Xenopus tropicalis: one gene and its partners. The protein of the gene in region 1 purifies or fractionates together with the protein of each later gene. This does not show direct contact. Links are inferred from orthologs where the notes say so. Each region holds a gene or a part of one and is shown in the gene's direction. Other genes may lie near its edges. The genes, in order: crnkl1, ccdc12, ppie and dhx8.

Region 1 (7,428 bases):
AGTTTATGAAAGGTCCGTGGAATTCTTCGGGGAAGATCACATGGATGAAAACCTGTATGTTTCATTTGCTAAATTTGAAGAGCATCAAAAAGAAGTGAGTTTTAATTTACTTTAGCCAAGCTGTGTTATTTTAAACTGTATTAAATTGGGAGACATCAATGGGAGCACATTTAATGAATTTGTCAAGGCTCTGTATATGTCAGTAATTGACCCTAGCAACTGTTTTCAGCTCCTTATCTTCTCCCTTTCCTGTGAGGTTAGATGTAGCTACTACTGTCTTATTGCATTAGAATAGGTTTAAAATCAAGTTTCTCTACATAAAAATGTGTTTACTCTTCCAATTTGTTTTAATTCTAAAAACTGCCACATTCCCAACAAACGGGTGAAATAGAATGTAATTTAGGTCCAAGGAGACCAGCCTGGGATGATGATGTGCTGTTTGTCATCTGGTGATAGAAGATGCAGATGACATCTGTAACTGTGTTAAAGTTCCAACAGGATTACATCCTATTCAGCATGTTTATTGTTCTCTACACAGTTTGAAAGAGTCCGTGTCATCTATAAATATGCTTTGGACAGAATATCAAAGCAACAGGCCCAAGAGTTATTCAAGAATTACACTATTTTTGAGAAGAAATATGGTGACCGGAGAGGTATTGAAGATATTATAGTCAACAAACGGAGGTTCCAGTATGAAGAAGAAGTAAAGGTAAGGGAGCAATATTTTATGCAACACAGAAAACACAACTAGGAGTAAGCTTGCAAAGACTAAAGCTATTTAGTTGACCAGGGTCAAGTAGGCTATACACGTACTTATAGTACTTAAACCAATTTAGGGTGGTTCTAGGCATTTGAACTGTTTTTAGTCTGTTTACTGCTAGATAATGTTGTTAGGAACTCTATTCTAGCAACGGAGCAATGTGTGTATAGTTTTAAGTAGATTTAACCGATTGCCTGCCATAGATCAAATAATCTTAAGTGCCAGCAGTCAAGAAGCTGACCTCAAACACTACAGATTTTTCTTTTCTTGATGTGTGTGACTGGCAACATGCCGCAGGTTAATTGCTTTTGAAAGTGACCGACCGACTTGCCCCTCTATCATTACTTTTATGGTGATAGTAAATCAGTACCCAAACACTGCTCTGCCCATAAGTTTAATGTGAAAGATCAGTTTAGCACACATGGCCCACAGTAAATAGAAATACTGACTGGCACCACAAAACTGTTTTGTTTTTTTTTGTTTTTTTAACATGTTTCTTATGGCATAACCTGAACAGTAGTCCTTGGGTAGTTTCCATTTCTTTGCATATTACAGTATATAAATTATTTTGAGCTTGCATAGTTTTTCTAGTCTGCACTGCACTATTTTTTGTATAGGATAGAAACAGAATAGGAAGTAACAAACACTTGTGCTGTCCGAATGTTTGTGACACAATGAAATGAGCTTTAAATATGTTCGTAATGAATAACACAGCTGCAGTTGGTCACATCTCATGCCAGAAGAGCAATTCAGCAATAGGTAACAAAATGGCACAAGATGGAGAAATCACTTGATAAATATACAAATGTCTTTCTCCCCAGGCAAATCCTCATAATTACGATGCTTGGTTTGATTATCTGCGGCTGGTTGAAAGTGATGCTGATCCTGACACAGTTCGAGAAGTTTATGAACGGGCTATTGCCAATGTCCCACCTACAAAGGAGAAGAGACACTGGAAGAGATACATTTATCTGTGGATAAACTATGCCTTGTATGAGGAGCTAGAAGCAAAGGTGAAAAAAATTGTAATCCACAAGAAACTCTTGTAACTGTGTAATAACCTAGCATCCTGCGCGCACCAGACATTCTTTGTCTGCATATTTACATTGAATTACACTGCACATTTTTGCCCGCTAGATGGCAGTTGTGTGTCAGACATCTCTTAATGCAGAAAACAGTCTGAAAAACATAGATCATATACACTTTATAAAGTGTGATTATTATGACTGGATCTGTTGCATTTCCTTTTATAAAAGCAGCGTGTTATAGGAAAAAAAGGAATAACCCTAAACCAAACCAAATTTTTTTTCACTTAGCTAATGGACAGATTTTAATGGTTTTTTTACATACTTTGAATTTCAGGACCCAGAGAGAACAAGGCAAGTCTACCAGGCCTGCTTAGAACTAATCCCTCACAAAAAAGTAAGAGTCTTTGTAATTGTTTGTTTTCCATGAGCCTTATGTCATTTTACGAACTAAATTCTAGTCCTAAATTTGAGGATTTGCCTGTAGCTAGGCAGAACAGCCCACTCTTCAGCCGCTGTGCACAACACCAGGTAGGGGTGAATGCTGATCTGCCTCACGTGATAGTAATGATCTCTGCACAGGAGTGAGAGATTTTGTTGTTTTAATTATGTCTTCAGCCATCTTGAATTTTAACTTAAAATATTAGGGCTCTTACTGCTACTTGTTAATCTAGTTTTATTTTACAGTTCACATTTGCAAAAATCTGGCTGATGTACTCACAGTTTGAAGTCAGACAAAAAAATCTTCCATTTGCAAGAAGAGCTTTGGTGAGTACCATCAAATACAGGGAGCACTATTTTCTATCCTAAGACTCGCGGTGATATTAAAATGTTTGAAAAATCTATTTTTATCTACCCCAATATTTGTCTGTATCCCTGTTGCTTAACCTTGGGTTCCCAGATGTTGCAAAACTACAACTTCTAGTATGCCTTGACTCTATGTGGACGAATACTGGAAGTCGTAATCCTGCAACTTATGGGAACCAAATGTAAAAAAACAGTTTGTTCAGATAGTTAATCGTGTCATGGAGTTTCTGTAAAAATCTATAGCAAGATGGGTAATTACAAGTAAATTAATGATTTACATCACAGTATTGTAGTTTTGTTTCCCATTAGTGATTGTTGCTTGCCACAGATCAAAGAACTCTTACAACTCTTTTTGAGTGTAAAAACTTTTCAGAAATTTGTAGAGGTTTCCAGCCTTATCCGGGGGGAGTTTATTTGAATATTTTATTATATTGATGAACCAATGCTGGTAAATGGGCCTAGTGCAGTTCCAAAAATAATTGTTTTTCCTGTTACTAAGTTGAATATATGTAGATAAGTAATGCCTTAATCACACAGGGCACATCCATTGGGAAATCTCCAAAGAACAAACTGTTTAAAGGTTACATTGAACTGGAGCTGCAGCTAAGAGAATTTGACCGTTGCCGAAAGCTTTATGAAAAGTTTCTGGAATTTGCCCCCGAGAACTGCACAACATGGATAAAATTTTCAGAGCTGGAGACTATTTTGGGTGACGCTGAACGAGCTCGTGCAATATATGAACTGGCTATTGGACAGCCACGACTTGACATGCCTGAGGTATGAAACTATGCCTGTGCTTTTACAGGACTCTCAATTTTTTACTTGTTTTTACACTAGATTGGTGTAAATGTATCAAGCTGCCCTAACAAAAAAAAAAGTCTGCCAGTAGGGTTTGTTCCTATTTTTTACCTATACTGCCCCCTATTACCATACAGGTAGGAGACCTGGCATCTTGTGTTTTCCATGTTAACTAAAGGATATTTAAACATTAAGTAAATACAATATTAGTTTGGAACAAGTACATAGTACTGTTTTATTGTTAGACAAAAAGGAAAACATCCTAAAAGACTCCATTTTAATCAAGTAATGGAAATATATGGGAGATTGCTCTTCTGTAATTTGGAGCTTTCTGGATAATGGATTTCAGACGATACCATACCCTGAAAAAAAAAAACACCCAGCAGAGTAGCACAGCGGTGTTGGTCTGGCCAGTTGACACCCTTTATCCGGCTTGGTAATGGTTGTAGAGTGACTGTGTTGCTTTGACTGAGTGTTATTACCGAGGGTTGCAATAGTAAATGTTCCTCTAACAAAGCATAACTACTGATTCTTTAGCGAACGGTTTCATTCTGTAGTGCTGAAGGTCGCCATGGTATTTGACTACTATTTATATGACTGTCTCAGACTTCCCCTTATAGCTGCCTGCTCTGTGTGATATTTGCAGGTGCTCTGGAAATCCTACATTGATTTTGAAATCGAACAAGAAGAATTTGAAAAGACTAGAACCCTTTACAGGAGGCTTCTCCAACGAACACAGCACGTTAAGGTATTTCACTTAAGATTCAATTTTCTAGCATATTAAGCACATAAACATTGAGGTCTCTGCATGCCACAGACTTTGGTAATTGGGCATCAAACTATTTAAGAATACCCCTGTCCTTCATATTAAGGATGATGCTATTATGTGTGAGAGAGAAGATAAGGTACAAGGTTTGAGGCAGTTTTTTTTTTTTTCATTAAAAAAAAAATCAACTTGTAGTTTGGAGTAGAAAGACGTATTTTGCTAAATTCAGTAAATGTGTAATGTGTTAATTTTCGGCGTGGGGGCAAGAAATCTTCACAAAACAGATTTATTATTGGCACAGTAAGGAGACTTGTAGCTTTCCAAATCAGTTTTATTTATATGCATATTATTAAATATAATTTCCCTGTTTATAAAGAAATATCTACTTTTTATAATTAAGTATTGAGCCGTATATAATAAATATACTGTCCTTAATTTGCATTAGATTACTGGCTCTCCAGTCACCATAACCACAAAATGTGCTCAGGCAATAATGCATGGCGCAGGTTTCACTCTGGGCCCCTTTATTGGACTTTATATGGTCCCTGACAGATCCACAGTAGAAGGGGGTAGCCAATCACAGCCCTGCAGTCACACAGTGGTGAGATCAGGATCAGGTCACCCTAGCTAATGACTGGTTCCTATCCTACAGTGCAGTGTGCCGAGTGCCACCGGCTCCCCTGCACAGCCTGGGAAAGGAGGCAGCAGGGAGTGGAACAGACTAGTAGGGTTTTTGGAGAAATTTTTAATCCGCCCGAAACACATTCCTTCTATATTTAAAAGCATATATGCACTGGCATATTCTTGTTTTTTTTTTTTACACTGCTCTTTTAAATGTAAATTAAGAATATATAGTCTTCAGTTATCTAAAAGTGTCTGAGCAAAAGTAGCTTTCCCATGAGCTCATTCCAGCAGGTGATGCTATATTTACCTGGTTTATGTACAGTGTTACCGTTTTTTATATTTATAATTTACCCTCCTTAGGTCTGGATTAGCTTTGCACAATTTGAATTAACTAGCAGCAATGAGGACACATTGGGAAAATGCAGACAGATCTATGAAGAAGCCAATAAGAGTCTAAGAAATTGTGAGGAGAAAGAGGAGAGGCTGATGCTGCTTGAATCTTGGAGAAACTTTGAGGAGGAATTTGGGACAGAATCCACAAAAGAAAGAGTAGCCAAACTTATGCCAGAGAAGGTCAAGAAGAGGAGAAAACTGCAAGGAGAAGATGGGGTAAGAGCTTCCCTGCCTAGCATGCTACCCTTAAACCCAAGTGTATAAATGGGTTTCCTATTAATACCTTTGTTTTGTATTTATCTAATTGCAAACTCACTTATTAATCAATAACATTTTATTTTTTCTACCAGTCTGATGCAGGATGGGAGGAATACTACGATTATATCTTTCCAGAAGATGCCGCCAATCAGCCTAATCTTAAACTGCTTGCAATGGCCAAACTTTGGAAGAAACAGCAGAAAGAGGAAGAGCAGACTGATGAACCGGATCCAGATAAAGACATTGATGAGAGCAGTTCCTGACACTGATTTTTCCAGTGTCCTTGCTTTGTTTGTACATAGTGCCACTTACCAGTGACTCTCACAAGGCTGCTTTTTTTTAAAAAATAATAAATAAAACCTGTCTGAATATAATTACATTTAAAAGGATTTAATCTTCATTGTTCTATAACAGTGGGAATCACTGCCTGTAAAGAAATGAGTAGGACACATGGGTAATATATCTGATAACTCTCAATTACATAGGCTGGGGAGGGCAAAAAATGAAAGCACATGTAAATGTGATACTGTAATTATTGTCTATTCCAGGAAAAATCCTCACACTGAGTTGCCTTTACCCTTATGGTTTAAATGACTAGTAACGCTAGTAAATGCCCTTAAACAGTACCAAATAATTTTTATTTAGGCGGTCAGACAGTATTTGCTTTGCAAGCTAATATCTCTGACCCTTAGTTTTTACTGCCACAATTCCTATTAATAGTCAGAAACTGGAACACAGATCTATAACAATCATTCAATATAAACTCAAACAGCAGCACATTTTATTCTGCCTACATTTGCCCCATCAGCCATTTACAGCGTCATTACCTTGTTAGCACCTGAAAACTGCAGGACATCACAGAGAATGCAGTGCAGCCATCCATGGAAGTTACACATCACAGGAATCATTTACACTGGATTCTTAGGCAAAGGTACATAATTACATCTATCAATTGTTCTTAGTGCAGCAGGAACATACACATTTCATAATCACCAAATAAAAAGGCTCTCTGAAATTCTTACTATTGCATTTTAGCAAATAAAGTAATGTTATGTACATTTTTCTGTATACTGCGCTGACAATAACCTGAATGAGAATGCTGCCACTCTCCAAGCCATATGGAAATGTCACACTAACACTACCCTAATGGGCATAAATCTACATGACTTGTGATGTTGCTCATGGCAACCAATCAGCAATTAGATTTGACCTGTCACCTTGAAGTTAGAAAACAAAAGCAAAGATCTGATTGGTTGCTATGGGCAACATCACCAGTGACATTGCCTTACACACAATAATAAAAATGCCCCTAAAAGTTAGGGACAGGCTGTAAATGGCTGTAAAAATGGCAATTTCAGACAGGAAATAAAAAGGAATATACAGGAAAATTCTACATAGAATACAATCCTAGATACATGTCGGTATTACTTTAAAAGATGAAGCTTATAAAATGCATGGCCCTCCAGTCCTAGGACACAACTCAGCAGCAAGCTGTAAATGGTCTGTAAAAATATGGATTACAGTCGGTGACATGCACTGCCAGCTCTGGTCACATTTATATTTGTGTCTGCCAGCAATATGCCTTGGAAAAGTAACTGGCCAGGTATAACTTTCCTGAATAAGAACCGACTTTACAGTGTAAGAGGCAGTAGATTAAATAGGTGTGTTTTATAAATAAACAGAAAAGTAATTATGCGTCTCTAACCATTTACTGAACTTAACTTCTCCGCTAGGAACTGTGCATATGGCCTAGCAAGCCTCAGACTGGTGTTGCTGCTTTATAGAATATGTAGATGAAATTGTCTTTTTATGACTCTGCCTAAGAACCACAGCTAAGGTTATTCAATGTCTTCTGGTCTCACAGGATGCGGTAAAGGTACAATAGATTTCTTCTCAGTGTCTCTCGACAGAGCTTTCCTCATGTCTAGGGAAACAGAAGAAATGGGTTATATCCTTATTTATTTATACATCACAAAAATATTAGGGACAGAAGACAG
Region 2 (7,968 bases), on another chromosome or scaffold:
CCCGATTGTTATAATTGCACTGATGAAGTTAACGAGCAGTCTGTAATTTAACTCTGTCTTTAAAGTTTTATTTAAGCAATTCAGGCGTCTGGTTATGCTTATTAAGGTGTGTATTATACTGTGTATGTTTTTTATTTCGCAAATTCTTGCACCTGCAGGTGTGGCTTTTTATTTACATTGGATTATAAGGGATGTTTGTGTGCACTGTATATATATATATATACTGTAATGCAGGGGCAGTGAGTAACTAGCTATGGCAAGGGAAGGGTTATACGCTACCCCCACCCATCAGCTTCTGTAATAGGAAAAGGTGTGAGGTATAATGTCAGGGGTGGGGGTGAGTCACACAGGGGTGCGTAAGGCTGTATTGGTGACGCAAACACTAACATGAATGGGGTACGGCCCGGGGACACGGCTCCTTGGCACACCTGAGATAAGGTGAGGGTGGGTCCTGGCTTCTCTGGGGGAAAGAATGTATATGTTTAATGCAGCAAGTGTGCAAGTGTTTTACTGACATGGATATCTCCCCCCCCCCCCCCAGCTGCTGCCATAACACAGCCACCTACCTCTGCCATAGGCACAACTTGAGCAATTCTACTTTCCAGCTGTTACACCTGCCTCCCCTTTTGTCTCACCCCCTCCTGTTAAGAAAGACTAAACAGAGTGCAAATTGGGTGCTATAAAGGCGCCGCTAGTAAATTCCTCACATGTATATGTAGGTGTGGGGGGGGGGCTGATCAGCACTAAATACCTGCCCCAAGGCTTTGATCAGGGATTAGTGATAATTTCTCCATTGACATCAATGGCTCTCTTATACTAAAACATTAACAGACCAAAAACCCTGAATTTTAGATATTTGGCACAAGGGAACAGAATCATGAATTATTATTAACATTTATTTATAAAGCACCAACATATTCTGCAGCGCTGTATGGCATATTTATCATACCATACCCCCCAACTGTCACGCTTTAAGCAGAACAGTCCCGCTTTCTATAGCTCGTTCCGCTGTCCCGGATAGTTCCCTGAATGTCCCGCATTTTCGTAATAGATTACGAAAATGCGGGACATTCATAGAAGGATCCGTGACAGCGGGATGAGCGCTCCGACTCCTTGCGCTGCTTCTCTCCTGTGGCTCCTTCGGCGGCGCTCCCTGGCCCTTTTATAAGGTTGCGCCCGTGCGTAATGACGTCACACGTACACACGGGGCGCAACCTTATAAAAGGGCCAGGGAGCGCCGCCGAAGGAGCCACAGGAGAGAAGCAGCGCAAGGAGTCGGAGCGCATATGGGGGCTCTGTGTATGGGGGCCTCTGTGTTTGGGGGGGGCCTCTGTGTTTGGGGGGCCTCTGTGTATAGGGGGCTCTGTGTATGGTGGGCACTGTGTTTGGGGGGGCACTGTATTTGGGGGGGCACTGTGTATGGGGGGCCTCTGTGTATGGGGGGCCTCTGTGTTTGGGGGGCCTCTGTGTATGGGGGGACTCTGTGTATGGTGGGCCTCTGTGTATGGGGGTCCTCTGTGTTTGGGGGGCCTCTGTGTATGGGGGGCCTCTGTGTATGGTGGGCCTCTGTGTATGGGGGGCTCTGTGTATGGGGGGCTCTGTGTTTAGGGGGCCTCTGTGTTTAGGGGGCCTCTGTGTTTGGGGGGCCTCTGTGTATGGGGGGGCACTGTGTTTGGGGGGGCACTGTGTATGGGGGGCTCTGTGTATGGGGGGGCCTCTGTGTTTGGGGGGCCTCTGTGTATGGGGGGGCACTGTGTATAAAGGGTACTGTGTATGGGGGGGCTCTGTATGAAGGGCACTGTGTATGGGGGGGCTCTGTGTATAAAGGGTATTGTATATAAAGGGTACTGTGTATGGGGGTACTGTATATGGGGGGGCTCTGTGTATAAAGGGTACTGTATATAAAGGGTACTGTGTATGGGGGGTACTGTATATGGGGGGGCTCTGTGTATAAAGGGTACTTTATATAAAGGGTACTGTGTATGGGGGGGTTCTGTGGGCTTCCTTAGGTAGTACAGTATGAGGGAATAGCACATTTGCATCTGATCCCACCATTTCAACTATATAAAACAAGTATTTTTAGAAATCAATGGGGTGTGTTAATTGGGGCGTGGTCACAAAAGTGGGCGTGGCCAAAAATTTGCTGCTCTTTGTTTTTCAAATGTTGGGAGGTATGATCATACTGTGTAAAAAGTGGAGTGAAGCATTACAGGTGATGTTGCCCATGGCATCCAATCAGCAATTAGATTACAACAGTTAGAAAACCAAAGCAAAGCATCTGATTGGCTGCTATGAGCAACCTCACTGGTAATGTTTTATTCCACTTTCTACACAGCATGATTAATATAAAGTTAGTTACATACATTGGACATACAGAGTAACATATGAAGCAACCAATAACCGATACAAGAGCCCTGCCCAATAGAGCTTACAATCTAAAAGAGAAAGGGTTGAGACACAAGGTGTGGGAATAAAAAGGAGGTAAATGCTGAGGGGGCAAAGTGTACTTTCATTCTTGCTGCTGACACATTCATTAGACTGCTAGTGCTTCCGTACAATCAGATTTCTATTAGATATCAGAAATACGTGTTAATAATAACCATCATCATCGCATCCTATAACCTGACGGGAAATTATCGATGCGCTCTGCGTTCCATTGCTTCCCCCTCGCTATACCGCTCCGTCCTTAGAAGATTGATGCGGAGATCCTTCGGCTGTCGATTAGCGTGGGCTGGCGACTGGTGACGTTTCGCGTTCCTACTGGCCGGCTAGCGCTTCCTGATTGGCTGTTGCTAGGACAGGCCGCAGAGCATTGTGGGAAGATGGAGGGAAGCGTGGGGAGGTTGGAAGTGGAAGCTTTGCGAAGGAAAGAGCGGCTGAAAGAGCTACGGAACAAACGGGTATGGAGGGCGAGTTATATTGAGGGAGCTGGGATATACTGGTGTGTACTGGTGTATAGGTATGGGGAGGGGTAAGGCCGGCCGGCCAGTGAAGCTGCGTTCCCTTCTCTCTGTGGGACTCGGATGTACATTATTCTGTTCCTCAGGGATGTACAGCGTGTAGCCCTCCGGCTGTGCCATTCTGCATGGGTAGGGCTGCTCTGTGTATGGGACTCACTCCCCCGCATTAGGGGTCCGGGAACTTCCGCTACTGGATGGGCTGTTACTGGCTTTCCCAGTGCTGGCAGGGCCCTGGCACCGGAACCTTTTATCTATCAACATTCTTATTGTAGCTTTATAGCTGTGAGACAGACACAACGGGGCTTAGACTGTTAGGGGGAACACACACTGGGCTACTTAGTAGCAGCTACTTTTTCCCCAACCTTTCTTACTCGGGAGCCACAGTCAAATGTAAAAAGACTTGGGGAGCAACACAAGCACCATAAAAGTTCATGGAGGAGCCAAATAAGGGCTGTGATTGCCTATTAGGCAGCCTCTATGCACCCTATCAGCTTACAGGGGCTTTATTTGGTAGGAAATCTTGTTTTTATTCAACCAAAACTTGCCCCCAAGTCAGGAATTCAAAAATAACTCCCTGGTTTGGGGGCACTGAGAGCAACATCCAAGGGGTTGGGGAGCAACATGTTGCCCCTGAGCCACTGGTTGGGGATCACTGCCATAGACAATACTGAGAATTGCCTCTTCTAAAACACACAGAGACAATTATCAGTAAATGATCAGCATTGTCTATTTTAGTAGCCGCGACAAGTAGCTGCTACTAATAGCTCTGTGTGTCTTCACCCTTAGAGGATGATGGGAGATGTAGGCCAGAGAGCTGGGCAGCTTTGATAGGAGACTCATTGTCTCAATGAAAAGTCTGTATTGCCCTCACTATACAGAAGCAGCTATCTTTGTGCCCTGACTAATGCCCTCCTACAGGGGGTGCTGTCCCTGCTGTATTACATTGTTACGGTGGCTATACATGGGCAGATATAAGCTGCCAGTTTGAGTCCTGTAGACATTTATGGCAGCTTATCTGTCAACTCCCCCCCCCCACGTCCCCCCGATCAATATCTGCCCGAAAACCAGCCAGGTGTTGATTGGGCAGGTCTGATTAGGGGAGCACATTGGCTCGTTGATGTGATCCTTGTTCCATGGGCTCCTATTCCTGTTGTTGTAATTCAGTTGTTTGGCCCTCGGGACCAAATGAGCCTGATATTGCCCAAATGAGCCTGATATTGCCCAAATGAGCGGATCTGAACATGTATGCTCGTTTTGGGTCATTTTCACAGGCGTGGGACATTTTGGCGCCATTTTCACAGGCATTGTGGGACATTTTGGCGCCATTTTCACAGGGATTATGGGTATTTAAGATTTGCACAAGTCACTATTTGTTACCCAATAAATTGAAAGGGCAGTAAATGACATCGTTATACTTTTAGTTTTAGTTGCCCTTGAATCAAAATATCCCCAAATGTAACCCTATGACTGCACACCATTATTCCCACAACTGCCCTGCTCCCCTATACCTGAACTGGAAAGTAACTTGCTGGCTGCCATGTTTGGCCACTTGGCTTCCTGTCACAGTAAATGGCAACCCCCCGGAGCATGTGTATTTAGAGCAGGGAACAGACCGGCTCCCAGCCCTCGTTCTTGTGGCCAGGGAGTGAGGGAGAGGAAATCAAGTGGCCAGACAGGGGACAGGGTGGCTACCAACCAGTGCAGAGCAGCTCTGCCTTTCCAGTGCATGTATGGGGGGGGGGGGCATTTGTGGGAAAGGGGGGGGGGGCAGTTTCCACCAGATTCTTTAGCCCATAGCAACTAAATGAGCCATGACCTCCCACTTATTCTACTTCTGTATTGTCAAATAGGAACTGCAGAGCAAGAATGGGAAGTCAGCAGCGAAAATATTTGTTTCCATAAAAGCATTTCCCCCCCCCCCCACCCCCGCAGGAATGCTGTTTATTTTGGAAACATTTGCACGTTTATGAGTGTTACAGAAATAATATATAAATAATACAGCTGGCTGGCACGCAGAGGGTAAAGCTGCCCCGGGTTATTACTGAATGAGGCTTTGTGTTGCTACACGTGGCACAGGGGGGGGGGGCTCTATTTATCCTCCCAGAGCCCTTGTGTTGCCTGTTTTGTGCCTGATTCTCATGTCCCACAATCCCCGTGTCCCACGGAAGCAGCTTGTGGCATTGTACAAGGGCATCAGATAGTGATCAGCCGGGTGTCACGTTACTCTGCTGCCCGCTTGTGTCATGGTGCAACACAAACCAGTTCTTGGGAATACAACGTGCGGCTCGTTTGCAGATGTAACGGCTCCTTATAACCCAGTGGGGTCAGTTATTAGTTATTGTGTGAGGTCCTGCAGGACTGAAGGGGTTAAAATACATACAGGCTTCACCCCAAGGACATTAGCCACTGGGGGACCCAGTCCCCCTTATTGATTCTTAGAGATCTAAGTTCTCTGTACTTTCTGCTCCTGAGCTGCTCAGAACTCTGGGCCCAAGTTCTGAATGGAAAATGGACTCAAGTACCCCAGGGTAGGGGTAGTTCCTGTCATACATCATACCATCATATTTATGTCCTAATGGTGCTTGTATATAGGGTTCAGTTACATCAATGAGTTAAATACCAGTGGTAGGTATCTGTGGAACAGTGCCATCTAGTGGCCAGGTGTATGTGCGACCGGTGGGAGAAGTAATGCTAAGCAGTTTCCTTTTATATGTGACTGATCAGAGATTTGGTATGAGTGTTTGTATGGAGTGAACCCATCACCCACTGAGCTACTGCCACGTATGGATCATTACACAGTGGATCCCATGTAGCACCCAGTGATGCTCCCTTACAGTTCATATACAACCAGCTCCCCTTTAGCCAGTAAGTCAGTCTATGGGGCTGTAACATTGTCTCCATTCCATTTGCAGCAGAAAGATGAAGGGGAGCCTGAGAATAAGATGCGCGTGGGAGAGGAGGAAGAACCACACAGGTAAGTACATTTCTCCCTCTCTAACCACTAACTGCCGCCGCTTGTTTTTCCAGGTGATTTCCATAGCCCCTGACTAAGTGCCCCAGGGCATGAAACGTGTAGGGGTTATGGAGAGGTTTTAATGTAACTTTGAATAAAGCCTGTATGCCCACAGTGATTGCTGATTCCCATAGGAACCAATGGAGGGTGATTATGGGTGCCTTGAAGCCATGTGGTTAGGCCACGTTAAATAAAAAACTTACTATCTCTGTGAGTGCCATTACCCATAAGTCTCTTGCCTGCCATGGTGTTAGATTGCACTTACCAAACCGGCTCTGTATCCGGTTTTGGATAAATACTGTCAGTAATTGATTTTGCACGGCCCCATGGGAATGTTTCACTGACTCCTCATTCAGCTCCCCTGCTAAGGGGGCAATTGCTTGCTCGTTAGTACAAACAAAGCGTAATTGACTTAACGTGGGGTGGATGTCACATGATAGTGCAGCGTGTATAATTTCCATGATCAGAGAACAATCAGTGGTATCTGTGTATAACCAGGAATGTGATGCACTACTCACTGTACTGTAACAGAATATATATAATATACTGTACTAATTGGCTTCTCTAGCAGTTTGTCGTTCCCTTTAATATGCATTGGGCACCGCAGGGCGTTGTTGTTTACTTTGCTGTGTTTGATGTGTTCCCCCCCAAGCAGCTGAGCCCATGAATGAGCCCCTCGGCAGTCATATTACAGTATGCCCCAATGATTGGGCCTAGGGATTGGTTGTATAGATGGGACACTGATAACCCCCAGGCACTGGAATATGAAATCCTTATCCCTGTTGTTCCTTAGGGAGCTGAAGCTGAGGAATTACACCCCCCAGGATGATGATCTGAAGGAGCGGCAGGTACCACAGGCCAAGCCAATCTCAGGTGGGTTATCTTTCCACTAAATCATATATATCCCACTGGGGGCTATACATGTATCATATTATGGATGATGGGCCAGAAGGTACTTTATTGTTATTGTCATTTAGCAGTGAATTGGCAAGTTGTGAGTGCAGCCCTATCTGCCCTTGGGTCCGGATCATTACCTGTGTAGGGAATACTGTCATGGGAAGCCATGTTTAAAAAAAAAAACAACCCATCAGTTAATAGAGCTTCTCCAGCAGAATCCTGCATTGTAATCTGTTTTTAGAAAGTACAGATGTTTTTATATTTAACTCTTTAAACACCTGCACAATTTCTCTCACTTTAGGGGCATTTCCTGGGGGGGGGGGTTGAGTTTACCTAGGAAAACCTTGTTGTCTTTGTTTTCTTTTTTCAGAAGACCTGGAGCTTTAAATCTGCCTGAGTTTTTGTGTATTTCCACTCCTGGAACAAGATTTAGAGCTCTAAATACAAAAGAAAAAGAAAACTGATATTTTTCATGATACAGAGATTTATGCCAGAAACATATTTTGTTTTATGGACTTAATTTCAACTGATTCAGAAAGCCTCATGTCTCCCAAACACGCCAATACCTGATATGTATCGTTTTATAGAGATTTCTGATCTTTAAAAGTACCCATTCTACCAAAACCAAAATGGGTAATAATGTCTTTTACCAAACAGCAATGCTTTTTTAAACTTAACGGTTTCTACAAAAATGTTTGAAAATTCTAGACCCCCCCCCCCCCGGGCAAATCAAAAATGGGCACCCATGTCTTTCTACTCCAAACTCCGGAGTCGCAATGCTTTCCAAAAATACCTGAAAATCGCCCCAAAGCTTCCAATTATCTCCCACAGAACATTAGGTACCAAGAAAAAACATCCTAAATATGAAAGCCAAGGGCCCACTGAACAGATTATCTAAGTACCTGGCATTTAGAGACCCCAGAAGGAAGTTGGTACATACATATTTCATGGCAGTATCCCTTTAAGACAGATAATAGCGTGACAGCATTGAAGTCTATAATATGCATTTTCCTAATCTAACCCTGTGTCATTGCACCCTCTAGTGGAAGAGAAGGTGAAGGAACAGCTTGAAGCAGCCAAGCCAGAACCAATCATTGA
Region 3 (7,871 bases), on another chromosome or scaffold:
TTGTGTGTAAGGGCTCTGGCACACGGGGAGATTAGTCGCCCGTGACAAGGGATATTTGTCGCAGGCGACTCGCGAGGCAAGTTCGGCGTTTTGCCGAAATCGCCTGCGCAGCGTGTGCCATCCCACCGGCGACTTACATTTTCGCCAGTGGGATGGTAGTTCGGGGAGATTAGTCGCCCGTGACAAGGGAGATTTGTCGCGGGCGACTAATCTCCCCGTGCCAGAGCCCTAAATGTTGCAAGTTATTTAAATACAGTGATAATATAAAAAGTAAGCATAAGGATAAAGAATACAAAATTGAGACTTACATAACATGTCAAACACAATATGTGGTTTACTGTCTACAGTATGAATGTGGCTCCCTCTATGTAGGACAAACTATAAGGGCTCTGGTACACAAGGGAGTTTAGTAGCCCGCTACAAATCTCCCTTGTTGCGGGTGACTAAACTCCCCGATATGACATCCCACCGGCGAAAATGGTAATCGCCGGTGGGATGGCATACGCGGCGGCTGATGCCACACGTGGCGTTTTTACGTTGTGTATTTTCTAATTCTCTCGGCGGCTGAAAAATGCACAATATCATCATCCATAGAAAAAACTTGAATAGACTCGAAGCAAACCACACAATGCGTAAATACGCTAGAAAACGCCTTACCATGGATTTTTCAAGCGTTTGCCGAAATACGCCAGTATTTGCACAGCAAGCTATTCCTATGTATACACAAAGGCAGCTGCCAGACCTAGCGGAAATACGCTGCGTTTTTTACTATTTTGCACTATTAGCACCATGGAAATGGGATTTGTTACGTCACCAGTACTAGGCTGAAAAACTCCATAGTCAGGGGCTGTGTGGCTTGTGCAGCGTTTTTAGGCTGAGAAAATACGCAGCGTAAAAACGCCACGTGTGGCATTAGCCTTAAAGTGTAGTATCAAAATATGAATGATGCGCCAGAAAAACTGCCACTTGTAAGAGATTTAACCCTATGGCCCCCCCTCCCTATGCAAGAGAGCCTTAAGGGGCCATACATGGTTGGGCAATATTGTGTGAATATGACTCAGGAACATGCCACTCACAGACGCGCCTGACACCGGGACGGGGAACAAGGGGTTACACGCAGTCACCTTTCACCCAGGTTAGACTAACATCAAGCACCCCCAAACAAACCACCGCCCCAAATACAACTATTCGCTGCCACCATCTATCATTAACAGGCGATAGAAACCCAATTACCCAAATATTTCATACACAAACTTTCTTACTGCAGTTAGGGTTAGTTCTCACTAATTTAACAGCACACTAGCAGCCACAGGGTTAAAATTACAGTCAAACCTACCCCCCTGCTGGCAGCCCACTAGTTAATTAGCACCTACACAGAATCTGCCCTCTACCCAATACACATACACACACCAAATAGTTAATACACCTAGGCCTGAGAAGTCATACGAGGTACGTGGGAATTGATATAAAGCCAAAGGACTAAACTTATTAAATTTTATATTTAATATTACCAGGGTAAACAGTGCAGTTTTAAAAAGATGTTACAAAAGAGAAACATACATGCAAAACAGTCAATAAAATAAACGGGGATAAAAACACAGAGAAATCCTAAGTACGTTACCAAATATCCTGTGCCCTCTGAGGCAAGAGGTTGAAAGTCCTGAGCCCATCCCCCAACATAAGTTGCGGCCTCCAGAATGAACTAAAGAATATCTGGGCATGCGTGCTTTTATTCCCCGCTGGGCCCCTCCCTCATTACCTTATGCATGAGGAGGGAGTGCCCAGGAACTGGTCACATGACCCCTTTGGGTGGTCCCCACCCACCCTCTTTAGAGAGCTGTACTTCTCATGCCAGTTTCTTGTCATATAATATTGGCACTTACCAGTACTCAATATTATTATGAAAGTAGGGAATTGTTTTAACCCATATGTGGGCGATCGAAATGATACCAAACATGAGGGGGATCTCATGTCCCAGTCCCCCAGAACCCATTTCTCCTAACTGGCGGGTATAGGCCGCCCCTGTTTGGTACCATTGGGAAGCCTGGGGCCTCCTCATAAATCCTATGTGATTTATGATGATGTGGACCTTAAAGCAGCGGAGATATGGATCCATTTCTATAATCCATATTTTCTGTATGCTGTCCCCCCCTGCTGTTCCTAGGCCCACACTTTGCCTCTCTTTGATAAACAGATCAAAGACCCCAGCTTCCTGCCCCAACGGGCTGATCCCGCATTGTCTGATGAAGTTGTTTATGTTGTCACCTTCCACAGTCCTGGTTGTGTCTTTAAGGGATATTTGTGAATTACCCCCTACTGGGAAGGGTTTCCCTCAAATGTGGATTTCAACCAGACTGAAATTGAAAATTTAAAATCTATGGAGCCTTACTGCTCCAACATGACAATGACCATTTGGCCCTTGGGTCAAATGATCGCATTGCAATGAAGGGGATAGGAAAAGTGAGAGTGATATGACTAAAAATCAAGCATGTCCAACTGAAATCTGGCCAATCTTAGGCCAGAAATTGGTCGGAGAGGCCTGTCAGAGGGCCCTATACACAGGCAGATAAGCTGCTGAGTCCGTCTTAAGGACCCAAATCAGCAGCTTAAATCTGCCCTTGTACGGGCACCTTTAAAGAAGTTTTCTATTCAGGCAGCAGCGATCTTAAGGCTGCTGTGCCGCCCCCCCTCTGCGTTTACCTCTTCAGCATTGGAGCAGGTCCTGGGGGGGCAGCATCACTATATCAAATGGAGGTCACTGACCCCCCCAATCGAATATCACTCTCTGCACTAGATGAGCTCAATCTCCATTTTTAGAAATGCAGCTCAAAGTTACCTGAGGTGGCTTTTTGCCACCCCTGGTACATGCCCACTCACTGCTGCCTACAGCAAGGTTCTCACATTGCCTCCTGGCAGGAGCAGCCCTGTATTCAGGTGCCCAGGCAGCATGGTGGCTCAGTGGGTAGCAGTGCTGCCTTCTGCTGAGTCCTGAGTATACTCCCACATAAAAAACATAAACATACCAGCATGTAATTACTTTAGGATTAAATTGTCTCTACAATATGTGATAGGGACCTTAAACTGTTCTGGGCCAGTGACTGATAAAGTGAATGATGATGAAGTGAATGATGCAGACTCTCTGTAAAGCGCTGCGGAGTTCTGTTCACCAGGGGTGACGCCTCCCAGATAAATTCATCATAGCATTATTCTCTAAGGCCAGAAGATGTAGCTCTCCGCCTTACAGATGCAGAATGCCAGGTCTCCAAACGTCTCCCATTTTCGGGACTTTAGAAATGGCCATCAAAGGACAATATATAATATTATTATTTTTTTATGTAACCAACGCCATCTGCTGCCTGCTGTAACCAACAAAATGTCTGCAACCGACGAATGGCGACAAGTATTTGAGTACATCAGGTAACAAAAGCAGAGTTTAGATTTCCCGTTACCTGTATACCACGGATTAGTAATGCCCACTAGAATTCAATCCGTTTAACCCGCATTGTCAATAGAGTTCCGTGGTTTAGTCTACATCGTATTTACGCTTTCCTAGAGGAGGAAGGCTGACGTTGTGACGTAAGGGTCATAGGGTAAAGGTTAGCGTCAGCAATATGGCGGCTACTAAGAGAGTTTTGTACGTGGGTTAGTACTTTTTTACATTTGCATTTTCTTCTTTTAGAGGTACGGGGTTAGTAGTGCAAAATAAATGGAGCGCAATCTTTAGCATTTTGCTGCTATTTGTAGCAATACCTAGAGAAGCCATGAGAGACAGCCATGTTCACGTGGATAGTGGGGCTGCAACCCCCATCTGTTAATCCGGGCACCGAGCTGCACGATATTTTCCTGACTACGGGGGCTTGTTAGTGCGAGAAGTGTCTTTAAAATGTTTTGTTTAACTTTTCCTGCTGTAATTTCTGTTCTAAAACTTGTTCATTCATGTGATTAACAGGCGGGCTTGCAGAGGAGGTGGATGAAAAAATCCTGCATGCAGCTTTTATTCCTTTTGGCGATATTACTGATATTCAGATACCTCTAGACTATGAAACAGGTAAGTATGGAACTTAATGCACCACTATGCTCATTTTAAGATCATGGGGATTTATATACACATATCTAATTTACACCAGTTTCTTTTTCTGCCTGTCTCGCAACTGGGTTTGTGTGTGAGTGACATTTCTCATTCGAGGGTGAACTTTTGTAATTAAAATTACAACTTTTCTGTGTGAAAATATCTAGTGGCACATACTACTAGCGAAGTATAGCTTTCATGAAAAAGCTGTGTTAAATGATGTATTTTTATAGAGACTGGCTATTTTTAGAGGTATTGCAGCTATGACAAGTTTAGCTATGATGCTATATTAAATATGCATAAATCCACTAAGGTAGTATATTACAAACTGGCCTTATGGGCGTGACATGTATAGTGCACCTGTTGAAATATTTTGGTCACAGGCACTGTTTAAGGAAGATATGTAACATGACTGTAAATCCCTCAGTCTTGTAGGCAAAAATTATTTATATTGTTTCACTCTAAGCTAAAGTTTATAATTATCTTTAAAACAACCCCTTTATTGGATCTCCCCATAGCTCCACTAAAGTCCCTGTCCATGTTTCAAATGAGGGGTTGGTGTGTCCTAATGGTCCCTGCCACAAGCACAGTAGGAGCGGGACAGCAAATCACAGCCCTGCAGTCACACAGGCAAAGATAGGCTTCAGTTCCCTATCAGCTCAGCCTAGCTGCTGATTGGTTCCTAAGCTACAATGCAGTGTGCAGGGTAGCTGGCAGCAGTCAGCACGACCTGGCAAAGGAGGCAGCAGCAAGGAACAAATGGGCAGAACCAGCACAGTTTTTGGAGAAATTTTCAATAAAAGTTCATTAAAAAACTTTTAAAGCACATTTCTTCTATATCTAGAGGAGTATAATGCACTGGCACATTCTTGTTTCTTACACAACATATCCCCTTTAAGCTACCCATTACAAGCACATTTCAAAATACATATTGTAACTGAATGCAAGAGTAATTCTAGCTTCACAATTCTTACATTCTTAAAACAATTTACCAGTTCAGCGATAAGCCTTCTGTATAATGAGCTGCCCCTTATCTCAAAGCCTAACAAAGACTGCAGCTGGGGAAAGGAGGTAGGTGTTTGTATAGAGGGCATCTCATTGTACTGGTAATTTGAGTTTATCAACTCGTAAGAACCAGGAAGTTGATATCAGTCTTAATTTCACTTTCAGGCTTTGCCATGTATGGTTAAGAAATAACACGAACCACAAATATTTGTAGAGCTATGAGATCTGTTATCCAGAAACCTGTTATCCTGAAACGGGAAGGCCATCTCCTATAGACTCCCATTTTAATGAAATAATTAAAAATTATTGGGTTTATTAAATGTTTAAATGATTTTAGTGTACTTAAAGTATGGTTATCCAAGTTATTGAAAGATCCATTATCCCATACCCATGAATTATGGGTGGATGCTGTGGGTTATTTTATCTGTCCATATTTTCTCTGATATTAAATGTTCATCATTCTAGTATGATTTCTGTGTTCCTGCTTCTCCTGAGAAAGAATTATGTTTACAACATTTTGTATGGGTATTAATGGTTGGTGGTCTTATTTTCTTATAGAAAAACACAGAGGATTTGCATTTGTGGAGTTTGAGCTTCCAGAGGTCAGTTATCAAAATAACTTATACAAGGTGGATTCTTTATCCTCTATTTCTTCCCTTAGGGTGCATGAGGGAGATGGGGTTCTGGCAATTCATTCTGGGGATCAATTCAGAATTTTTGCCTGATTTGCAGCTATTATTGCACATGCCAGTAATTAGTGCCTCACACACGGACAATCAGGTTTTACAAGGAAATAAAATATATAAGTATTGGGTTTATGTAAAAACGTTCATAAATGTTATCTGAATTGTCACGAATGTATATTATATATACATAGAAACAATTTTTATCAGTTGGCCTCGCTTAGGATAGCTGTAGCTATGTTCAGCCCAAAGTGTCAGGTATGCCAAACTAATTTCTCCCAGATGAACATTGAATTCCAACAATGTCAGCGCCCAATATATATTATTTATTTCAATTGAATGTATCTTTGTTTAATGTTGCATTTTTTCCATTTTCCAGGATGCAGCTGCTGCAATTGATAACATGGTAAGAGTTGGTTATGTAGTTTATTCACTTAATTTGTGCTTAGGCCTTTTATACTGTCTTACTTGTAGAAATGCTAGCAAGTCCCAAAGCATCAATTCTGTAATTTAATACTTAATATACATATCAATTTATGTTAACCATCACTTGCTTTAGAAGTTTGTCTAATGCATTTTATATAAATAAGCTGGAGAAGCAAAGGTAAGTACTAAGTAAGATTTACCAAAGTTCTATGTAAATACAGCCATAAGCACTACCAAAAAATCTACACTGGGTCTTCTATCAAAAGAAACACAGGATTTCTTGTCTCCTTTTTTGTGAACATGTTCTTGGGTATCTGACTTCCTCTCTCAGAAAAATCCTTCATTCCTGGGCCAGAGTCTGCTCTCTCCTCTCTTCTTTGTTCATAAGAATGCATTAAACTACCCCCACCCTTTAGGAATGTGTAATCTGAGCTACAACAGCTAGCGCTGCAAGTAGGAAGCTACTTAAAATGGCAGCTGCTATCTTAAACAAACAGAGAAAGCTTCTAGGGATCTTTACTCAGGTATGGTAAGAATAAATATGGTGTTCTAGGTGGCACTAATGTGGCAAATGTATTGGCAGTTAAATGCCAAAATGAATTTCCTTTATCTATAAAGCTAAATTTGCACAGCAAAAAAATGTAAATATGTACATAAGACTTTGTTAAATTGCTAGAGTTAAATAGCACTGGTCAAGTTACACACAGCAAACAATTAGCAATTCATTTTGACCAGCCTGTTTCAAATTAAAAAGTAAAGATAGTATTAGTTGCTCTGGGTAACTGCCGTGTAACAAATTAGCAGATGTATTAGTAAATCAAACCCATAGTATCCTATAATAGTTATTTTTTAGACCTTTTGGCCCAACATGCAAGCTGCGTAGAAATACATTACCTTGAGTAATTTGGATCAACATACTTTAAAGCAATACTGACACGTTCCTATAAAAATCCATAAGATCATGTAAATATTACTAAAGAGTTGAAGCACCAAAGTATTTCTGGACAAAAGTCCTTTCAAAGTCGCCCCCTGCCCATTGATACTTACCTTAGCCAACACTCCAACATGGCTTATTATTACGGAGAAACAGGAAAATGTTTTTTAAAAACTTAAAATCAAGGGAGATGGCCTTCCTGTACTTCAGATCTTTCTGGATAATGGGCTTCAGGATAAGGATCCAAACAGTTTGAAGGCCAGCACGTACCCTCAATTTCATCCTAATTTCAGGTTGCATCTGCTATCCACTTATTTGGGTTCCTCCGTCAAGGTATCCCCCAAAATTTGATTACCTTTGGGCTTTATAGTGATACAGGAGGGGCCAAATTTGATGTATGGCACTCAGCACACCTATACAATAAAATGTATTTTTGTACAAAAAAAGACTATTACTACATCAAATCCAGATGTTGGACAAATAGGTTTTTATAAATGTACTTAAAGCATATTCACCTACTTAAATGTTGCTGGTATTTGCAAGAAATTAGTAAATAGGCAGTGTTGACAGAGGTAAAAACCCTAAATGGGTCTTAGTATCATAAAAGCTTGCAGAATTTACTTTTTTTGTACCTTTTGAATTTCTTAATTTAAAATTCAACATTTTTGAATTTGCAGAATGAATCAGAACTGTTTGGTAGAACAATTCGTGTCAACCTGGCAAAGCCTATGCGATTAAAAGAAGGGTCATCCAA
Region 4 (7,428 bases), on another chromosome or scaffold:
TGGTCATCAGGCAGCAAACTCCTTAGAGTTGGAAGCAGTATGGAGAGCCCTGCTTGCCTTCAAAACTATTGTAAAAGACCAAAATGTTCTAATACATACAATGTGGCAACAGCCTACTACATAAATCACCAAGGAGGTTCCAGAAGCAAAGACCTGGGAATGAGAGTCAAAAAGATCATGTGTTGGGGAGAAAAAAATCTAAAGTATACAAGCACGCCACATTTCTGGGTACAGCAATATCAGAGCAGACTTTTTAAGTCGCAGGTTGATACTTCCCGGAGAGTGGAGTTTAGATCCAGAAACATTTCTTCAGATCTGCAAGGTTTGGGGTTCTCCAGTAATAGACCTCATGGCCTCAAAGTACAATGCAAAGCATCAAAGATTCTTTTCCCTTACAGCAGGCCAAGGCGAAGAAGCAGTGGATGCACTAGCCCAATCATGGGATTTCAGCCTAGCATATGTTTTTCCACCTATCCCTATGTTAGCAAGAGTGATCAAGAAAGTTGCACTTTGCTCAACAGAAGTGATTCTAATAGCTCCTGCCTGGCCCAGAAGGAGTTGGTACTCCAGCCTCCTCCAACTTTCTGTCAGTCCTCCTTGGCCCCTTCCAGTGAAGGAAAATCTCTTACACCAGGGACCAATTTTTCATCCAAACCCTGCAGCTCTTCAGCTCACAGCATGGAGACTGAAAGGGATGTTATGAGAGCACAAGGGATATCTGCACCAGTCATTGAAGTCCTGTTGCAGAGCAGGAAAGAAATTACAAATAAAATTTATCAAAGAATTTGGTCTCATTTCAGGAAGTGGTGCTCAGATAAGAAACTAACTCCAGAAGACGTTCCAGTGTCAATCATTTTAGATTTTCTACATGATGGCTTTAGGAAAAAATTAGCTCCAAATACACTTAAGGTGCACATTGCGGCCTTATCAGCATTCAAGAACATATCCTTAGCGGAGCATCCATTGATCAAAAGATTTGTCAAGGCTGTTCAAAATATTAGACCTAAAACAAATAACCTAACTTCAAATTGGGACTTAGACATTGTGTTAAGAGCCTTACAAAATGTTCCCTTTGAACCCTTGGAAGAAGCTTCCCTGTATCATCTTTCCATTAAAACAGTATTTTTAGTGGCAATTTGTTCAGCCAGACGCATAGGAGAACTGCAAGCTTTATCATGTAAAGATTCGTGTCTACAGGTTTTTCCAGACAGGATCATCCTCAAAGCAGATCCCTTGTTTAGACCTAAAGTCTCATCTAATTTTCATAGAAACTTTGAAGTCATTCTTCCAGTTTTTTTTGCAGAACCAAGAAATAAAGTGGAGGGAAAGCTACACTTACTGGATGCCAGAAGATGTGTTTTGTTCTATTTAAACAAGGTAAAACCTTTTCGTGTATCTCATAACCTTTTCATTTCCTTTTGGGGGAAGAACAAAGGGAAACGTGCCTCAAAATCTTTCATTTCCAGATGGATAAAACAGGCAATATCCTTAGCCTATTCTGCTTCAGGGAAGCCAGTACCTCCAAACCTCAAGGCACATTCTACCAGAGCAGTGTCAGCCTCACAGGCAGAAGTTGGAGGCGTGTCAGTGGACCAGATATGTAGAACAGCTTCGTGGGCAAGTTTCAGAACATTTGCAGAGCACTACCGACTGAACGTAGGTACCCCTGGGGAAGTGGCGTTCGCAAATACGGTGCTTTATTCAATTTGTAAAAATACCCCCCCTTGACGTACTGCTACTCAACTCTCTCTAGTAAGTGCTGCCAAGGGACGTGAGGGAAATAACGGATTTATACTTACGTAAATTCCTTTTCCCTCAGTCCCGAAGGCAGCACAATATCCCTCCCTTACAGTAAATATTCTATCAGCATTGTGTATGTGTCTTATTGCTTGAGAAGATCACTGAGGGCTAGAGGGGAACAGAGGAACTTATAGGAGATGAGGGGGTGGAGTAATTAATTGGGGGGTGTGGTGTTTTCCTACCAGGTGGATGTCATCTCTCTAGTAAGTGCTGCCTTCAGGACTGAGGGAAAAGGAATTTACGTAAGTATAAATCCGTTATTTTTCTTATCAACCTCGACACTAACACTTTTATTCAGCCATAAAGGTTTTGTTTTATACTGTTACTGTTGTGTATACTTGCAAAGCAATGTTTTAAAGATGTTCCATTTTCCTTCTGTGTCTAACCCTATGAAAAGCCTTTCCCAGTTGACACATTGCAGAAATGCCCTTATACTGGCAAAGTCTGCATGTCTAAAATTGAGCGTTTTAGTTACTCCCTTATAGAGCTGTCTCTGCAGCATTATCTCAAAGGAGACCATGTTGTGATCACTGTTCCCCAAATGCTCACCCACACAAATGTTAGAGATGAGTTCAGTATTATTAGATATTACCAGGTCCAAAATAGTCATTCCTAGTAGGTTCTTGAACCGCCTGAAATAAAAAGTTGTAATTTAGCACATTTACAAACCTACTAGCTTTTTCTGACTTGGCCACCCCATTACTCCAGTCAATGACCGGATAATTAAAGTCCCCCGTAATAACAACTTGACCCAGTTGTGAAGCCTCCTCCATTTGCAACAATAACTTGGTCTAATCCCCCTCATCTATACGGGGGGGGTTTATAGCATACACCAATGATCATTTTCTTTGTGACCTTCAGCTGTACTGAAATTTCTACCCAAAGAGATACGTTTTCATTGGTAATGTCTTTATTACATGGCTTTAAATCTGACTTTACATAAAGACAAACCCCTCCACCCTTTTTAATCTCTCTGTCCCTCCTAAAAAGTGTGTAACCATTTAAATTCACGGCCCAGTGAATAAAGCAACACTACAAAGAAGGCCGCTGGAAGGGGGATTGGGACTTCCTAACCTCAAAAAATATTTTTTAGCTTCACAATTAGCCCAAATAACTTCATATTCAATCAGCTCCACCATTATGGATTGATTTAGAAAATCATCTAGCATATCATTATTCGGCAGAAGCTCTTTTTTCACACACATTATTTCTTTGGGACCACAATGCTACTACTTATGCGCTGATCTCCCCCCACATGCCGGTAGCTCCTATTATTTTTCATGCTTGTGTTGCTCCCCAACACTTTTTTCATTTAAATGTGGCTCACAGGCATAAAAGGTTGGGGATCCCTGCTTTAGAGGTTGTTCATCTCCTGGAACCATGGGCCATATATGGTGGCACTGTCCAAAAGCAATCAGATTTTGGGTGAGAGTTTACAATATGATTTTCTCTGTGTTGCATTTGAACCTGCGTAAGAACCCATATGAAGCCCTCATGGGACTACCTTCCACTAAGGTCCCTAAAAACAAACAAAAACTCTTAAATCATATATTTCTAGCGGCTAGACAAAAGATAGCAAAGTCTTGGAAATCCCCAATGATAAATTTCATAATATAATGCTAATAACAAGAGTCACTATAGACAGACTTAAAAAATTCCAAATAGTATGGGAACCCTGGATAAGGTATAGATATGGCGATACGTTACCCACACATCTCCTTTAATTAAGTTTCATTTAATCAAGCTATACAAGTGCTTCCTTGTTTACTTTATTTACAAGTATCTTACTGATTTTATTACCACAAATGAGGTCTGACACTTTGAACATCCTTCTATTTGATGTAATTAAAGAAAAATGTAACTACTATTCTGCTAAAATATATATGCTAATGTTTGTATATAATTTACAAAAATTATGCTTGTCATGAAAATTTGTTAAAAAAAAAATATAAAAAAAAAAATGCCCCTTAATGTACATCAGCTAAATATGAAAATGATTTTGATCTTTCAATGTCACTGATGAAATACAGATTGTATTAATAGATTTTGTAAAGCAGTTAAATTCTTGGTGTATATGGTTTTGAAAAATGATTAAAGGACTTTGTAGTACATAAATACATTTTGTTTTTGTATTCTAATTTGGATAAGATATCTGGTGAAAATTAGCCCTGATATTCACCCTTTTGCTTTAACAGTTTATTGCTGTTAAAATTAGAATCATGATATTGATTCTGGTTAAAATTTATCACCTTCTACAGGACTCCCTTATAAACAATTTGTTGCGTCTGATTCAGACAATGAGACCTCCAGCAAAACCCTCTACAAGCAAAGGTCAGTCCACAAGGCTTAATGATTAAATTGTAATATCTGTATAACATTTACTATGTTGAACCCTTGAATTTTACCTTATGTATGTCTTATTTGATTCTCTTTGGGGTTATTAGGGTTACAGTGTGTTTTGGTCTTGATTGAATATGATACTAATCTATTATGTCTGTTCATCAATAGAAACAGTGATCAAGCCAAAGAATGAAAAAGAAAAGCTGAAAGAGTTATTTCCCGCACTTTGCAGGGCAGATAATCCAAGTGTCCGGGTGAGTGCAAGCCCTATAAATAACATTAAAGAAAAAGCCTAACAAACACATTATTGGGGATTATGGAATTTTCACAAATTGTTTTTTATTAGTAATAAGGAAATTAATAAATTAAAAAAGCTAATTTGATCAATAGCTGAAAAAATAGAATAGGTGCGCCTAAAGGGGGTGAGGACTGCATTAACGAGCCGTTGCGCTCCTTGCCTCAACTTGCTTTTAACCTGTCAGATCAACGTCTGGGCGATTTTTGTGCAGATATTGGTTGGGCAGGGCCACCTGGGGGCCCTGTATATGTGTCGATACGCTGCAAACTCAGACAGCTTTTATCGGCCTGTGTATGGCCACGTTTAGGCTGATGTAACTTGTGGGAAGTGGGGTAAAAGCTACATAGATCCATACTGTTGGCAAGCACTCTTGTTTTATAATGTTTTTAAATATCTTTTTGTAGGCTTAAGGCATGGCGATCCATAGTAGCTAGTATGTTAGGGGCCCAGCCTTGGAGATGTTAGTAACAAATTGTTATGTTTCACCATTTTTCTAATTTTAAGATATTTTGTTTATAACCATACAGACCATGCTAGATCCTGATGATGTAAAAGTGGCTGCAGATGCACTGCAAGAACTTGAAGCTCTAATGCCCAAGGATGAGAGAAGTAGCAAACACAAGTATGTCATTGCAAACTATGAACGAATGTCTTTCATGCCTGGGTTAGCTGATAAGTTGCTCAGGGTTTCCTAAAATGTTAGAAATTCATGTTATGCTTAGCTCCTCCTTTAATTACAGTAATCTGAAATACTGGGCTAGTTTCACTACAATTAAAGGGTTATGTAACAAAAGGCACAAAATGTGCCCAAGAACTGGAACCCAGGGCAAATAATCGGCAGCTAGAATTTACTGGCCACCTGTTTAAAAGCTGATATTTCATTGGTTGCTTTGGGTTATTGCTCCTGTGCAAACTTAGTGCCTTTTATGACATATGGGGAAAAGTGTATTATTGCCTTGTATTTTTCCTCATTTATAACAAAACATGATACAGTTACACACAGAGCCCTCTCACTGGGGTATATGAGCATAGGAACGCAATGTTGTGCAATAAAGCGATTCAGATGTTTTACTAGCAGCAATTGCTATATTTGGCAGGGAAAGAGTATTTAGTGGTTCTTTGGTGCTCAAAGACTGCTAGATAACAAGCTTTAAATAAATTGCCCTTTTTGAAAGGGAGTATGGTTAGTGTAAAAACCCCAATAGTAAATTAGTATCAAAATAATGACAAAATATTTAAAAATATATGTATCTTTTAAAATAATAGAATGCATTTTCTTGATAGATATTTAGAATTTACTTAATTATTTTCTCCTTAGAGATAAAAAAAAGAGGAGCCGCAGTCGAAGCCGGGAGAAAGGCAGCAAACACAAACGTAAATCTCGCTCTAGGTCCCAAAGCAGCAAAAAAACAAAAGACAGATATAGATCACGAAGCAGAAGCCCCATTAAGGAGCACCGTAACAACGAACACCATTCTGATAAATATGCCCCTTCTTGGAAAGAGAAGCATGTTGATAGACCGCCACCTGAAGAGCCAGCAATTGGGGACATATATAATGGCAAAGTGACAAGTATCATGCAGTTTGGCTGCTTTGTCCAGCTGGAAGGCTTAAGGTAAATCTAGTTTGTATATGTATGTGTATATATACATGTATGTGTATGTATGTGTATGTGTGTGTGTATATATATATATATATATATATATATATATATATATATATATATATATATATATATATATATATATATATATATATATATATATATAACACACAGGGACTTGATACAAAAGAAAAAGTGTTTTTATTGAAAAAATTCCAGCGTTTTGAGGGGACAGGCCAACAGACCATATCCCAACACCCACAGTAATTACCCACACCACATAAAATGGCGCCAAAAAACGGCCACAGTAACCATGGCAACCAGCGTGCACAAGCCCCACACCCACCAGAGCAGGATAAATTCAAATGTCAACATATACAGGCAAATGGAATGGGAGTGCAGTGCTAGAAAACAAGGTTAAGTTTAAAATTATGTAGCTAGTAAGCAAATGGATACATGTTGCAAAAAAACTGTTGCAAAAAACTATACAGAGTATGTTCCCAGTCAGAGGTGTCAAGCATTTCACTATGCTAAGTGAATGCCTTAGTTCAGGAGTGGCCAGATATATATATATATATATATATATATATATATATATATATATATATATATTATTATATAGAAACAAAAGGAGCACACCCTTCAGGCAATCGAATGCCCTAGGTGCTGGTCAAAAAAATGCAATAAACAGAGTACCGCACACATAGGGACACAAAAAAGAATTTATTGAAAAAGATCCGACGTTTCGAGCACCAACTGTGCTCTTCCTCAGGGACAAACCAAAAGACAAAGTGCATACACACCCCTTAAATACCCTACTACACAAAATGGCACAAAAACGGCCGTAACCACGGTAACCCCTATACACAAGTAGCATATGAAAATGAACAACATGAAAAATAAAAATCACAAGTGAAAGATCAAATAAAAGTACTGAAATGTATAGTTGATTACTAGTGGGAGATTAAAAGGATAGGCAGACAGACAAAAGCGAAACAAATAAGTGTAACATATACTCGCAGTCAAAGTAGCGAGTCAGGAGTTGGATACAGTGTTGCAATAGCAGAAAGTGAAGTAAGACAGCTTCTAACAAAACGGACAGGGCTTACCATGGGTATAGGCAGAGAAGATATCAATCGATCGCTGCTGGAGAGCGATATACTAACCGACCGCTGCTTTAAAGAGGAGATATATTAACCGATCGCTGCTGTAAAAAGGAGTTATTGCCGCCCAAAACACTATCACTGTCCCAGAGAGTCAGGACGTCATCATGATGACGTCCTGACCCACTGGGACAGTGATAGTGTTTTCCACCTTTTTCCAACTTTTTCCACCTTTAATGTGACCTATAAACTGTACCACTCAATTGAAAAACAAAATGAAATCT

What was found.
Region 2: the proteins of crnkl1 (region 1) and ccdc12 purify together in Homo sapiens (co-immunoprecipitation; 3 studies listed by BioGRID and IntAct, with this or other methods). This does not show direct contact. The link is inferred for Xenopus tropicalis from reciprocal best matches to the Homo sapiens genes CRNKL1 and CCDC12.
Region 3: the proteins of crnkl1 (region 1) and ppie purify together in Homo sapiens (affinity purification with mass spectrometry; 3 studies listed by BioGRID and IntAct, counting the BioPlex papers as one, with this or other methods). This does not show direct contact. The link is inferred for Xenopus tropicalis from reciprocal best matches to the Homo sapiens genes CRNKL1 and PPIE.
Region 4: the proteins of crnkl1 (region 1) and dhx8 purify together in Homo sapiens (affinity purification with mass spectrometry; 3 studies listed by BioGRID and IntAct, counting the BioPlex papers as one, with this or other methods). This does not show direct contact. The link is inferred for Xenopus tropicalis from reciprocal best matches to the Homo sapiens genes CRNKL1 and DHX8.

What each region holds. Positions count from the first base shown.
Region 1 is NC_030681.2:36,931,714-36,939,141, forward strand, and holds the end of crnkl1 (crooked neck-like protein 1), read left to right. Parts: coding exon 1-94; intron 95-538; coding exon 539-709; intron 710-1,581; coding exon 1,582-1,773; intron 1,774-2,122; coding exon 2,123-2,182; intron 2,183-2,472; coding exon 2,473-2,553; intron 2,554-3,129; coding exon 3,130-3,369; intron 3,370-4,036; coding exon 4,037-4,138; intron 4,139-5,140; coding exon 5,141-5,389; intron 5,390-5,523; coding exon 5,524-5,694; 3' UTR 5,695-5,805; downstream 5,806-7,428. Other genes in the region: naa20 (N-alpha-acetyltransferase 20), read right to left, coding at 7,270-7,355. UniProt on the Homo sapiens protein: Involved in pre-mRNA splicing process. As a component of the minor spliceosome, involved in the splicing of U12-type introns in pre-mRNAs.
Region 2 is NC_030682.2:12,606,326-12,614,293, reverse strand, and holds the start of ccdc12 (coiled-coil domain-containing protein 12), read left to right. Parts: upstream 1-2,821; 5' UTR 2,822-2,822; coding exon 2,823-2,900; intron 2,901-5,872; coding exon 5,873-5,934; intron 5,935-6,766; coding exon 6,767-6,846; intron 6,847-7,913; coding exon 7,914-7,968.
Region 3 is NC_030678.2:91,048,675-91,056,545, forward strand, and holds the start of ppie (peptidyl-prolyl cis-trans isomerase E), read left to right. Parts: upstream 1-3,744; 5' UTR 3,745-3,774; coding exon 3,775-3,859; intron 3,860-3,949; coding exon 3,950-4,048; intron 4,049-5,632; coding exon 5,633-5,676; intron 5,677-6,136; coding exon 6,137-6,163; intron 6,164-7,794; coding exon 7,795-7,871. UniProt on the Homo sapiens protein: Involved in pre-mRNA splicing as component of the spliceosome. Combines RNA-binding and PPIase activities.
Region 4 is NC_030686.2:20,714,680-20,722,107, reverse strand, and holds part of dhx8 (ATP-dependent RNA helicase DHX8), read left to right. Parts: intron 1-356; exon of another isoform or gene 357-1,377; intron 1,378-1,466; exon of another isoform or gene 1,467-1,656; intron 1,657-4,058; coding exon 4,059-4,131; intron 4,132-4,308; coding exon 4,309-4,394; intron 4,395-4,965; coding exon 4,966-5,060; intron 5,061-5,756; coding exon 5,757-6,053; intron 6,054-7,428.